3 linked regions of the Caenorhabditis elegans genome follow. The protein of the gene in region 2 purifies or fractionates together with the protein of the main gene of each other region. This does not show direct contact. Each region holds a gene or a part of one and is shown on either strand. Other genes may lie near its edges.

The links.
Region 1: the proteins of cdr-6 (region 2) and F17E9.5 fractionate together in Caenorhabditis elegans (co-fractionation; one large-scale study listed by BioGRID). This does not show direct contact.
Region 3: the proteins of cdr-6 (region 2) and acs-5 fractionate together in Caenorhabditis elegans (co-fractionation; one large-scale study listed by BioGRID). This does not show direct contact.

The regions. Positions count from the first base shown.
Region 1 is NC_003282.8:8,344,202-8,347,098, forward strand, and holds F17E9.5 (DUF7087 domain-containing protein), read left to right. Parts: upstream 1-1,616; 5' UTR 1,617-1,681; coding exon 1,682-1,762; intron 1,763-1,895; coding exon 1,896-2,303; 3' UTR 2,304-2,345; downstream 2,346-2,897. Other genes in the region: lgc-5 (Neurotransmitter-gated ion-channel ligand-binding domain-containing protein), read left to right, coding at 1-91, 132-284; F17E9.18 (Neuropeptide-Like Protein), read right to left, coding at 2,690-2,839, 2,890-2,897.
Region 2 is NC_003283.11:12,411,957-12,415,548, forward strand, and holds cdr-6 (CaDmium Responsive), read right to left. Parts: upstream 1,746-3,592; 5' UTR 1,743-1,745; coding exon 1,638-1,742; intron 1,584-1,637; coding exon 1,452-1,583; intron 1,407-1,451; coding exon 1,284-1,406; intron 1,231-1,283; coding exon 1,163-1,230; intron 1,069-1,162; coding exon 813-1,068; intron 767-812; coding exon 617-766; 3' UTR 531-616; downstream 1-530. Other genes in the region: cdr-7 (CaDmium Responsive), read right to left, coding at 1-78; cdr-2 (CaDmium Responsive), read right to left, coding at 2,728-2,877, 2,926-3,184, 3,229-3,296, 3,343-3,465, 3,512-3,592.
Region 3 is NC_003281.10:13,539,587-13,545,035, forward strand, and holds acs-5 (Long-chain-fatty-acid--CoA ligase), read right to left. Parts: upstream 3,949-5,449; 5' UTR 3,944-3,948; coding exon 3,806-3,943; intron 3,260-3,805; coding exon 3,146-3,259; intron 2,889-3,145; coding exon 2,753-2,888; intron 2,685-2,752; coding exon 2,413-2,684; intron 2,173-2,412; coding exon 1,744-2,172; intron 1,700-1,743; coding exon 1,307-1,699; intron 1,252-1,306; coding exon 989-1,251; intron 940-988; coding exon 621-939; 3' UTR 553-620; downstream 1-552. Other genes in the region: lron-13 (eLRR (extracellular Leucine-Rich Repeat) ONly), read left to right, coding at 1-366.

The DNA of each region.
Region 1 (2,897 bases), on a different chromosome or scaffold from region 2:
ATTCCCTTCTAAAACCAGTTCTGTATCCAGTATGGATGTTCCCGAGAACATCATTGCGCCTGTTTCTCTTCTGAAGTCGTCATTACATAAGGTAAACCACCATGATTTGAACATTAATTGATATATTTTAGACTGCGTTTCTTGTTCGTGACACTCTGCAAGAAATGTCTCGCATTAATGAAAATCAGTTGCTCTGGCTCAAAATTCTGGATAAAACTGATCTAATGTGTCTTATTCTGTTTCAAGTTGCCAATGTTGTAATAACAATTGTATATTGGAAATAAAAATCAAAAATAACTTTCAATAAATTTATATTTACCCGTTTAAAAAATTTGATCAATTCATAGGGATAGATAGTCCTAGTGGCAAAAATTGGGTACTTGTTTGACAGTAAATTAAAAAATATTTAAAACGTCTCTAAAGCACCCTCAAAACAAATGATCGGTTTTAGTGAAGAATAATTTATATTAACAACTTTCCTGCGCGAGAACATGGAATGTTTGGACTTTTTTAGAGTATTGTTTTCTGCGGGGTTGACAAATTTTCAAGAGTCCCTAGGCCTTCTACAGTGCCGGCCATAATTCTATCCAATTTTAGTTTTTTGACAATAACTTGTTTCAAAGTGATTCGTTTGAGTTGAAAATTCACTATAATATGAAAATGATCAAAACATAACTATTACTGCAAGAATTATAAAAAAAGCAAAATTTAAAAAAATTTCGGGGAATTTTCAAAAATTCGAAAAAGTGAAAATTATCTAAATTCTGAAAATAGGTTCTTTGTGAACTGGATCGGTTTTATCTGTCTACGAAACTGTCATTAAACTAGTAAATGAATCTTTGTGAATTTATTTTTGGCAATTAAAACTTAGGTGTCACGTGACAACAGACCATAAGCTTACCTGCAACTTGCAAGTGCTTGAAAATGGAAGAGTCTTTCTATTTTCAGTCATTGTGGCTATGAAATCAGTCTCATTCATTTTTAAATTAGGTTTTCTACATTGTTCAAGACTATTCTATTGATTTTGTATAATGTTTCTATCTATCTCGCTGGATATAAGCATCGCAGAGACACTCAGTGCTTACCAAGTATGTCAATTTTTGTCTTTGCCGCCTTGGTAAAGCTACCCTAACCCCCTTTTTTTCTAATGTGTGCAAAAAGTCAAGCAGTCAGAGTGAGGGATGGTAAAGCTATCGCACCTGCAGCAAACTAACTTCAAAATAAATTATGGTTTTATAAATTAGGGTAAATTAGGTTTTGGTTTTCTCAAATGTTTTTTTTCCGCAAACGTTATTGGATTTGGCCTATATATATTCTCCAGGCCAACTAGAAAGCATTCAGCTGGCTAAAAACACGCGGTTATCGGTATATTCATAATTGAACAAGGCTTCCCTCAAGTGACTAAAAAAGCTTGTTTAATTACATGAAACGGATGAACTAGAAATTCTTTAATTTCTTTTTCGATGACCGTGATGTTTTACTTTATTTCAAAAATAATTCCAAAAAACATCCAGAAACTTTTTTATAAAGGTTGTTTTTTCTCCGCTTCAACCTCGACCTTTCTTTATCTCCACGGTCAATCTGCCCTAGATCCGTCCGTATAAAAGATCGGAAAATGTGTAATTCAAATCAGTCTCTGCTCGAATCACCGATTCTCTACTCACTCGACTACTTCTCTGCAATGGATCAAATCCCACCGTACGAGTTCAATAAGTACGTGCTCTACGCTCGTGGTGCCGTCATCGTGTGTGCTTCATTTGAGGTTCGTTCTGTGCCGTTCGTGGTCCTCGGAGGACTGGTCCTGGTTTTTAAGGGCTGGCCTCTAAAGACTTGTCCTGGCTCTTGGTCTTTTGCCCGTTTTCCAGAATGTATAGAACATCATGAAATATTTGCAGCTCCTGATGGTTCTGTTCGGTTCCCTCGGCGATTGCAATTTCCTTGCCAAGCTATTCTACTTCATCTTCCTCGGTGGAGCAGTTGCCGTCTCATCGCACAACATTGCTCTCAACATTGATGGTCGCGAGGAGATCAACAAGGTTCTTACCTCGTCTGACAATGAAGTTCGTGGAAAGTCTGCCGCATTGGTTCTTGTCCCAGCTCTTGCTGGTATCTTCGTCTTCTTGTGTGTTTCTGGGCATGCATTCTTCTCACTTTTCGTGCTCATCCACGTGCTCGCCGCTGTTGGACAACTCGGAATTGAAGCTTATGAGTTCAAGAAGGGACAATCTGGAGCTCCAGCACAAGACCCAGCCGCCACTGCACCACCAGCCCAGGATCCAGTTGCAGCTCCACCAGCACAGTAGAAAGAATACTTGGGGGTTTTTGAAATAAAAGTTTTTACTTGCTCTTTTTGATCAGGAATGTAATCTGCAAATTCTGCTAGACTCGGTCGCCAAAAAACCTGGAAAAACTAAGTGCTCTTTTCTACTGTAGTTTCAGAAGAGTGAGCATCTTGTTGTAAGAGTAATATTTTGTTGTGGTTAGTCCGAAGAGAGGCTTCTGTGATTACTTAAAAACTATCGTAACTATCAACTTTTTGAGCAAATACTGGGTTATTGGAGTACTTTAGTATGATTGCTGTTCGTTTCGCTGGGTTATTTCAAGGATTCTCGCAAACTGGAATAATTCAAACACTTTCTAAATGCTCAATAATCTTTATTATTAGTTCCAACTCCAACAAGAGAAACATTCATTTTCTTCCCCATCCAAGTGGAGTCGGTGGACGATAGATGGTATGTCTTGCATTTGCAGATGGGATGAAATTGAATGAACTTGGCTGAGGAGCTCTTCTAGCTGGGTTGAACAGTGATGGTAGAATTTGATTAGTTGGAATGAATTGCTGTAAAGTATTATACGTTTCTTTTGCTTGAAAGTTTGAAATCAGCCTACCGCGGAAA
Region 2 (3,592 bases):
GAACTTGTTGATTTTATAAACAGCATAAATAGCAGCAGCAGAAGCAAAAATCAGTTTAGAGTGGGCACAAATAGACATTTTCAACCCTTGATACATGATTTGAATGTAGACGGAGGTGTCCTTTTCCTCTTTTTTGCCCTTCTCGTTATCTTATCTCTCGATCTTTTTTACACAAGTGTTAAATTAATGTCTTTCAATAGAGATCAAGAGGTCAAAATAACCGAAGAGATCAAGAAAACATTATTTCAGATCAAAGCTATTTAGGTATATATTTTGAAACAGATTTACGAGCTTTGAGCATTTTTGAGGTTAGCTGATATAACTATTAGAATGGAATGAAGTTTTCGAATTTCAACTAAAAATAGCTTCAAAACAAAAACTATTATTTGGGTCAGTGTATATCTTTAAAGATATGCAATTCGTATATACGCCTAAGCAATTGCTGAGCAAAATAATGCCATTCTCAAATTTTTTCTGACTTTATGTGAAGCCTCTTGTTATAAGTTGATTGTTTTATCGTTATCAAAGCTTTTGAAGATACAAATACTTATTGTTATAGACACTTTTATTTGGCTAAAGAAAAGGTAAGACAAGAAAAATTAACTAAAAATTGAAGTTAGATGGTGAAATCATTGGGGTACACTTCCTTGCGAACACTTTCGCAGTACTCAAGAATTTTTGGGAAATCCTTTTCCAGCACGTCGTTGATATGCGAACGAAGTGGGTAATACACGGATGCCAATTGTCCAAATACGGTTGCATCAGTCTAGAAAATTCCCAGGTAAAAAGGATACAACTATAAATTAACAAACCGGTGTGATCTTGTCTCCGAAAAGGAATTTCCCTTTGATAGAGTCTTGAATTACTTTGAGATCTCTATGAAGAAGCTCATCAAGCTCATGTGGCTCAAAATCTCCAATTGCCCCAACACAACGACTATAAACTTTGCTTCCAAACACAGCTTTGACCAGAGGAACCAATACGGCGTTGAATGCTGATGGTAAACCGAGAAGCCCGACAATGATCTCGTAAAACATGTCAACTGAGCTCTTGTAGCGGAGAAGTACACTGTAAAAAATGATTTCGAACTTATAAATTTCAATGAGATAATGAATTTTCTTCTGTTTCTAATCATCTTCAGAATTTAAATGTAAATACCTACTAGAAAAGATGATTATCTGCCATTCTGCTCAAAGCAACTGACTGCGCTTCTTGTTCGGTTGGGAGGCTCTGAAATATATATTTTTGCAAAATTAATTTTGAAAACATCTCGAATTACTTACTGGAATCTTAAAATGTTGTCTCAGGCGAATCTCAATGAGATCAGAGTCTGCAATGTGTTCCCCATTGAGCTCGATAAAAGGTAAAGTTCCATTTCTCGATCGAGCCATTGAACTCTCCACAATCTGAAATTTAAATTCAAAATTTGTTCAGCAAAAAAAGAAATAAACCTCATAAGGAATATTGTAGACTCTGCAAAGAATCTCAATTTTCATGCAGAATGGTGAAAGATTTGGGCAGTTTTTCAGTCTTTTGAATTGGTAAAGATAAACAGTATCTTTCTTGTAGTCGGTTTTGTGAATCTAAAAATATTTGTTCGTAAATTAAAAATTTTCAAAAAAAAAAAAGAAACTAACCGCCGGCTTTGGTTTAATTGTTGGTGGCGTGAAGAATTTCTTGTAAATGAAAAAAGCGATTGCACCAACCACTAGGGTTGTTGTCACTGGACAGCAACACACCATTCTGGAAAATAATTTTTCACGTTCAAAAGTAGAAAAAAATCAATAAATATAAGAGTTGCTATTATTTTACAAATTAAGACGTTAGTTGCGTTAATTAGAACTCAAAACTGACGAAAAAAAAAGGTAAGAAGAAATGAGTATCGACTCTATTTAATACTGCCATCTTGCAATGAGGGTAGAGTCTAGCCAGTGAACGTGTGTTTTGAGAGACATTAGACGGTTAGACACAATGTATTTTGTGGAAAAGAATATTGTCATGTTTGCTATCTTTACAATGTCTAAACAACTTGGAAAATAGATTTTATAGCGGACTTTGAAAAGTTTGAGTATTCGTTGAGCCACTTTTCATTTTATATTAAATTTTAAAGGAGAAACAGAAAAAGAAGGTAAAGGTATGTGGTTTGTAGTGAAGTTTGTGCTTAGTTTGGTTTAATTATCATTAGTTGATTTTTTGGTCAACCAACATCACTTCATTTGTTTTTCAATATTCGTACAAAAAACTATTATTTTGAGGAAATATAAGTTAAAGTTTGAACATTTTAGTTTTTTATTCTGTTGGTTTGCACTTTTACCTTTGCTTTCACAACAACTAGATAGCTTTTAAGATGCTGTTTTGTGAATTTCTCCGTATTTCTTCTACAAAGTTTTTGAATTCTAAAAATTATGCTAAAACCTGAAAAAATGTTTTAAGTAGCCAAGATATGCGGGAAAACTTCGAGAATTTCCAAATTTCTTTGCATACTTTAGAAAATTGAAAATTTGGACAAAAGCGAATAGTTTGCTTTGATAATTCCATAAGAAACATTTAAATTGTTGAAGATAATCTTTGATTTTTCAATCTTTGCCATCCACACTTGTTTGAGTAAACAATAGTGGAAATGATGACAAGGTTTCTTATCAATTTCAAAAATGGAAGAAGAAAATATATCACTTTTGGAGTTGCCTCCTCATTTGAAAATGAACATTTATTTTCATAAAACAAAAATTAAATTGTAAAATCATTTGGATATATTTCCTGACGAACTCGTTCACAATATTCCAGAATTTTTGGGAAATCATTTTCAAGGGCATCGTTGATACTGCACCGGAATGGATAAATCACCGACGCAATTTGACCAAATACAGCTGCATCTGCCTGAAATTTTATGAGATAAAAAATTGGGTTCTAATTGATTTCACAAACCGCTGTAACTTTATCTCCGAACAAAAACTTTTGATCTCCCAAATAATCTTGAATTGTTTGGAAATCTCTATGAAGAATATCATCCATTTCTTTTAATTCAAAATCTCCAATTGATCCTGTCGATCTCTGATAGACTTTCTTTCCAAATGAGGCTCGAATAAGTGGAAAGAGAAGTGGCTGAAGGAATTTTGGAATACCAATGCTTCTGACAAGAATATGGAAAAATTCATCTCCTATTATTTTGTAACGGATAAGCAAACTGTAACAAAAACCATTAAAAATCAGAGTATTTGAATAACTCACTTGAACAAATGATTATCTGCAAGTCTTGTCAAGGCTACAGAATGTGCTTCTTGAGCAGCTGGTAGAGACTGAAATTGAATTTTGTAGAAATATAGAATTTATTGTTATTCTCACTGGGATATTAAAATGCCTTCGAAGCCGCATTTCAATGAGATCAGTGTCCGCGATATGTTCTCCATTCAACTCAATAAATGGAATTGAACCGTTTCTTGACCAACGAAGCTTGTCATCACATATCTAACATTTTGGATGTAATTCAACAATTGAATAGCTTTCTTCTTACCTCATATGGAATGTTGTATGCTCTGCATAAAATTTCAACTTTTATGCAGAACGGGGACAAATTTGGACACTTTCGGGTTCT
Region 3 (5,449 bases), on a different chromosome or scaffold from region 2:
ATATCCCATATCTCCGCAGCTAAGAACTCGAAAATCAAAAATCTGCACATAGAAAATTGTCACCTAGAATCCACTCAGCATCTCTTTGAGATTTCCCAAACCCTGCAAATGCACAATTCGATAATTTTCTCCTCTCCCCGTGGCTTGGGAACAATCTCCAGCGCACAATTGCAAAACAACACGTTGCTGGAGTGCTGTAATCTAATCGAGTTGGATTCACGTTGCGATTTGCATTTTTTTGGGAGCCGATGTGTGGAAGAGGATGACGTGTCAACAAATCATTTACCAATTACCTCAGGATCAAATATTACAAGTTTTGATGTATATATTGCAATTTACCTATTCGTGTCAAGGATATTACTTTAATAAACAATCAAGCTTTCCTAAAAATATGTGTACAACTTTTAACGGTTTCTGAAGAATTCCAGAACGTAATCTAACTTGGTCTCCGCAGTTACTGCATAATTGTAATTAGTATTTTGAATTAATGATAATAGTATTAGTTACCTGAATATCAATTTTTCACTCATATTCTGCTCCTCCAAAGATTTTACTTATTTTTGGTTTATTAATAAATTCCAAGTACTAAAATATACATAGACTAGAATCAAAATAATCATTTAAAGATTTGGAAATTGCTTATACACTTTTGCCATGCCATCCTTATATTTCAGCCTCAATTGTGGTCGTTTTGCTTTCAGCGTTGGGGTTAGAAGTCCATTTTCGACAGTAAACGTGTCAGACGTTAAGATCACTTTTTTAACTTGCTCGATAGAATTCAACTTGTTAGCTTTTCCAATTGCATGCAGCTCACTGAGCACGAACTCCTTAGCCTTCTCGTCATTGCAGATTTCTTCAATTTTTCTTGATCCGGATCCTTGTTTATCATTCCATTCTTTAAGCACATCGGGTTCTGGCACGACAACAGCGATGAGCCATCTGAAGTCATTATCTCAATGTTGAGAAATCTAACGAAAAACCAAGTTACCTTTCCAAGCTATCTCCATCGACATAGACCTGTTGCACAACGGGTGTCCTAATGTAGACCTGCTCAATTTTTTCTGGTGCCACGTATTCTCCCTGCGCCAGTTTGAAAATGTGCTTCTTTCGGTCAATGATTCGAATAGTTCCGTTTGGAAGCATCTCTCCGATGTCTCCGGTTTGCAGGAATCCCTCTTCATCAAACAACTCGGCGGTTCTCTCTGGATCCTTGTAGTACCCTTTCGTCACACATGGTCCCTTGATTCGGATCTAGAAAAATTTTGAATATTTTGGATGAAACTGCCTTTCTTTAATAAATGCTCACCTCTCCTTTTCCATCCTTCGCAAAGTAGTTCAAATCCGGCACATCCCCGAGCTTCACCAAAGCACATGGCGCCGGAGCCCCACAATGCCCGGTGCTCGGGTCTCCCATCCAGGTAAACGTTGCCAATGCGGTGCACTCGGTCTGACCGTACCCTTCGACAATTGTGGTTCCAAGTGTGACTCTGCAGGTCTCAAGAACGGTGGAAGAGATTGGCGCGGATCCTGTAACCATGAGATCTACTTTTCCTCCTATTTGTTGTTGGATTTTGTTGAACACCAGACGATCCCAGATAGTGTCACGACCGACTTTTCCGGCTTTGACGAGACTGAGCTTGCGGGCAAAAGCAAAATTGTACACCAGTTTTGCCATAAACCCTTGCTGTTGGACTTTGCTCTAAACGTGTACATTTTTTTCAAAAATTAACACACAAGACTTACGGTAATCGCATCATAGAGTCGATTCAAAAGTCGTGGAACAACCGGGAACACAGTAGGCTTCAGTGTCTTGATATCATCAGTGAGGCCTTGAATGCTTCCACGGAAGTAACCAATCTTAGATCCAAACCCAAGAAGTGTCCAGTGAGTGAGCTGCTCCATCATATGGGAAAGTGGGAGGTAGGAGATGTGGACCTGCGTCGCATCAATCATCGACGGTTGGAATGCAAATAGAATCTTCAAGAATCCGCTAATATTGGCGACAATGTTTGAGTGGGTCAGCATAACTCCTTTCGGGGTTCCAGTGGTTCCTGACGTATAGCAAATAATGTAGTTGTCATCTGGTTTTGGGAGGTTATTGGTGAATGGGTAACGGGATCCGAGGTTCAAGGCGTTTGTGAGAGATTCGACGCGGATGGTGTCGATGATGGCCTGAAAGCATGTTGGAGATAATTTTTATAAAAATATTTATTATTTGAAAATGTTATGTAAATAAATCTAAACTATCATAAAAATTTTGTTTATCGGCGCCACCTTTGACTAGGTTATATTGATTCATATCATCCGCAACCTCATAGTAATATAGATCATGCTATGGACAGTAATCTAGTGGCAAGCTACTCAATAAAAGAGTCTAATGTGTAGCCATAATATGGTCCTAGCCCCACTTACAGTTCCATCCTTCAACTCATCCGCACTATCGATAACAATGATATTCTTCAACGTTGGCATATTTTCTCTGTTCTTGATCAAACTCTCTGCTTTCTTGAACGAATCCACAATGACCACACTGATTTCCGCTTGAGAAATGATAAAAGTGGCGGCTTCTGCACCAAGGGTGTCGTAGAGTGGAACCACTACCATTGACTGCTCGACGCACGCGACGGCGCTGACGAGCCATTGTGGTGAGTTTCGAGCGTAGATTCCGATGTTGGTGGTGTTGGCTGAAACTTTTTTTAGGAAACGCGAGTTTCAATTTCTGTCACAGCAATTTCTTCTGATTCACACTAACCTGGAGTCAGTCCAAACTCATGTACTAATGTCATTGATAAATTCTTCGCCTGTTCATGAACATCATCATAGGTTAGGAACTCGTAATCTGCGTCGCCAGATGACCGGGTACCCACACATGGACCGCCATTGCTTTCCTAAAAGTATACAAATTATACAATTTTAACGGAATATTCAAAAGGTTTTTGTTGTTGCATTGATTTCTGAATTTTCGTCACATTCTGTACTCTTAGAACTTCCAAGAATTCGAAAATTTACGATGTTCTTTGTATCTCCTTTTTCACCACCGCCAACCGCTTCCCCGTCATTGATAAGATAAGAAGACAAAGTTCGGGACAGAAAAGGACATCACACCACCCGAAAAAGCAAAAAAAAAGTCCCAAAAAAGACGAACCGTTTTTCCTTTGACAAAGACGTCATGAAGTGTGGCGACTTCTGGGTAGAATCTAGTGAGAACGTCTTCGGACTCATTTTCCATTAGAGCACTTTTCCATACTCCTGGTTGACCCTGTAATTGCACCGTTTGGTAGTGAGTGACTGGTCACGTGCTTTAAGTTAGAGTTAGGCCATGGGTGGAGACTATCTGGCCGACCTTTTTAAAGGTTAGGCCATGCTTGAAAGCGACTAAGCAGAACTTTAGGAAAGTTAGGCCATCCTCAAAGTCAATTTTACCGAATATATTAATTGTTAGGTCGCTAGGACCGACTCGATTGGAAATTTATATTTTAGATTTGTATATTATTTGGATTATATTACTATTTTAGATTAAGTTAGGTCACTAGTTAAAATTCTAGTCTGTTTAACGTTTTTTTTCAAAAGTTTATTAAGTCAAAATTAGGCCCTTGGTTTTTATGGCATGGTCTAACTTTTCGTCGCCCCTTTTTGTTAAAAATTTCCAACGAAAACTGGGAAAAGTTGCAAAAACTTCCATTTTACAGCGATTTTTAATGGATGAAATGCACATTAACTCAGATTGACAGTTGATAACTGATAAAGTTAATTGTCTGAAAAAATCCGAACAAGTTTTTCCCCATTATCTTCTTATAAGACTCACCTTTACTTCAACAGCTTGCTTATCAACAGAAAGCCCATTTGGAAGTGATAATTTTGCGGTTTTTAACAGTTTACAATACAAAAAATAAGTGGAACCAAGAATTGCGGCTGCCACTGTTAAGGCTGTTTCGTTGGTCATATTTCCTGAAAATAACTGGTTTTAACTCTACATTGCGAGAGATATAGAAAACGTTGTCAACCAAAAAGTTTAAAAAATATTGCAAGAATTATTTTGTTAGTTGACAATTTTTGATAAATGTTAAGGGTACAATATACATAGTTATAGAGGAAGGGAGATTGATAGACTTGAATTGTTTTATTATTTTATTTCAAGAATTTTTTTCATTAAATTATTTATGTTATCTGTTCTAAAATTTAGAAGATTAATACTTAAATACAACTTTGGCCAAAAAAACAATTTGAATTTTCAACTTGAAACCGACGTTGTACAGTTTTTCAAAATAGTTTTTGTTCAGTTGAAGTGAAAATAAAGAATTTATTTTCATCTGAAATTTTTATTGTGAATTTTTAAATTTTGAAATGTCGGTTCTTTATTATTAAAAAAAATTCAAATTCCCATATATTTGATACAAAAAAAAATCATCGAAAATTGTAAACTAACCAAATTCAAAAAGTCAAATTAAAAACTTAACCAGAATAAATTTTAAAATTAAAGTATCTGTCTTGTAATCCAATGAATCAATGAAACAAACTAACAATTGAACAATTTTTGACTTTTTGAATTTGATTTTTTCAGTCGCGTCACTTGTAAATGTTATTAACAAAAAGCTACTAGTTTGTCACAAAAATTTAGACTCAACTCCGACACCCCAAAATGTTGATCTGAAAATATTTCCACTTTTTGAATACTTTCCCAATATTTGTTCGGGGGCATGTAGAATTATTCCAACAAATATATGTGTTTATTTTCCAAGGGTTCAAGGGATATATAAACATACTGTGAGCTTTTTTTTAAAAGAAAAATTTAAATTAAAAATTTTTGCCAAATCCTAAAGTCTGCAAAACCAGCTTTTCGAGAATTTGTACATCTTTGAAAGTAGTGCCAAAGTACACTAAAAATGTTTTCCTCGAAATTTAAGCACACCAGAACGACATGTACCGTTTTGAAAGTCTCTCTTTGAAAAGAGATCAAGCTGGAAAACCCAGATGTACACTACAACTAGGATGACTACAGTTAACAAATAGATACGTGCTGAAAATAACATGGTACTAATACTACTAATTGAGGGACATAAAGAACAAAGAAAATGATTGAGAATCTCTACAGATGGAAGGAGGGAAGAAGAGATGTGTTAGAGACAGTAAATGACACGGGAATCATTGACAAGATAACAAAAACTCTCTCGTGTCTCTGCGTCTCCATACCTCCAATACACTATTTCCCTTATCAATGCCTACTGGGTGGACGATATACAGGGCCAACTAGCACTGCTAATTACGATTGGACAGAGACAGAAGACAAAAAGTGTATTATGTTTCTTTTTACTGAAATGGTCGGGTTTAAAGTTCGTCAATACCCGGCTGCAATGGGGCGACTTTGACTGGAATAGAGTTTGGTCAAAGTGGTGGAAGTTGTAAGAGATTTGGTTAATTGTAAATGTGCGTGGTGTCAGAGTGTCTCATT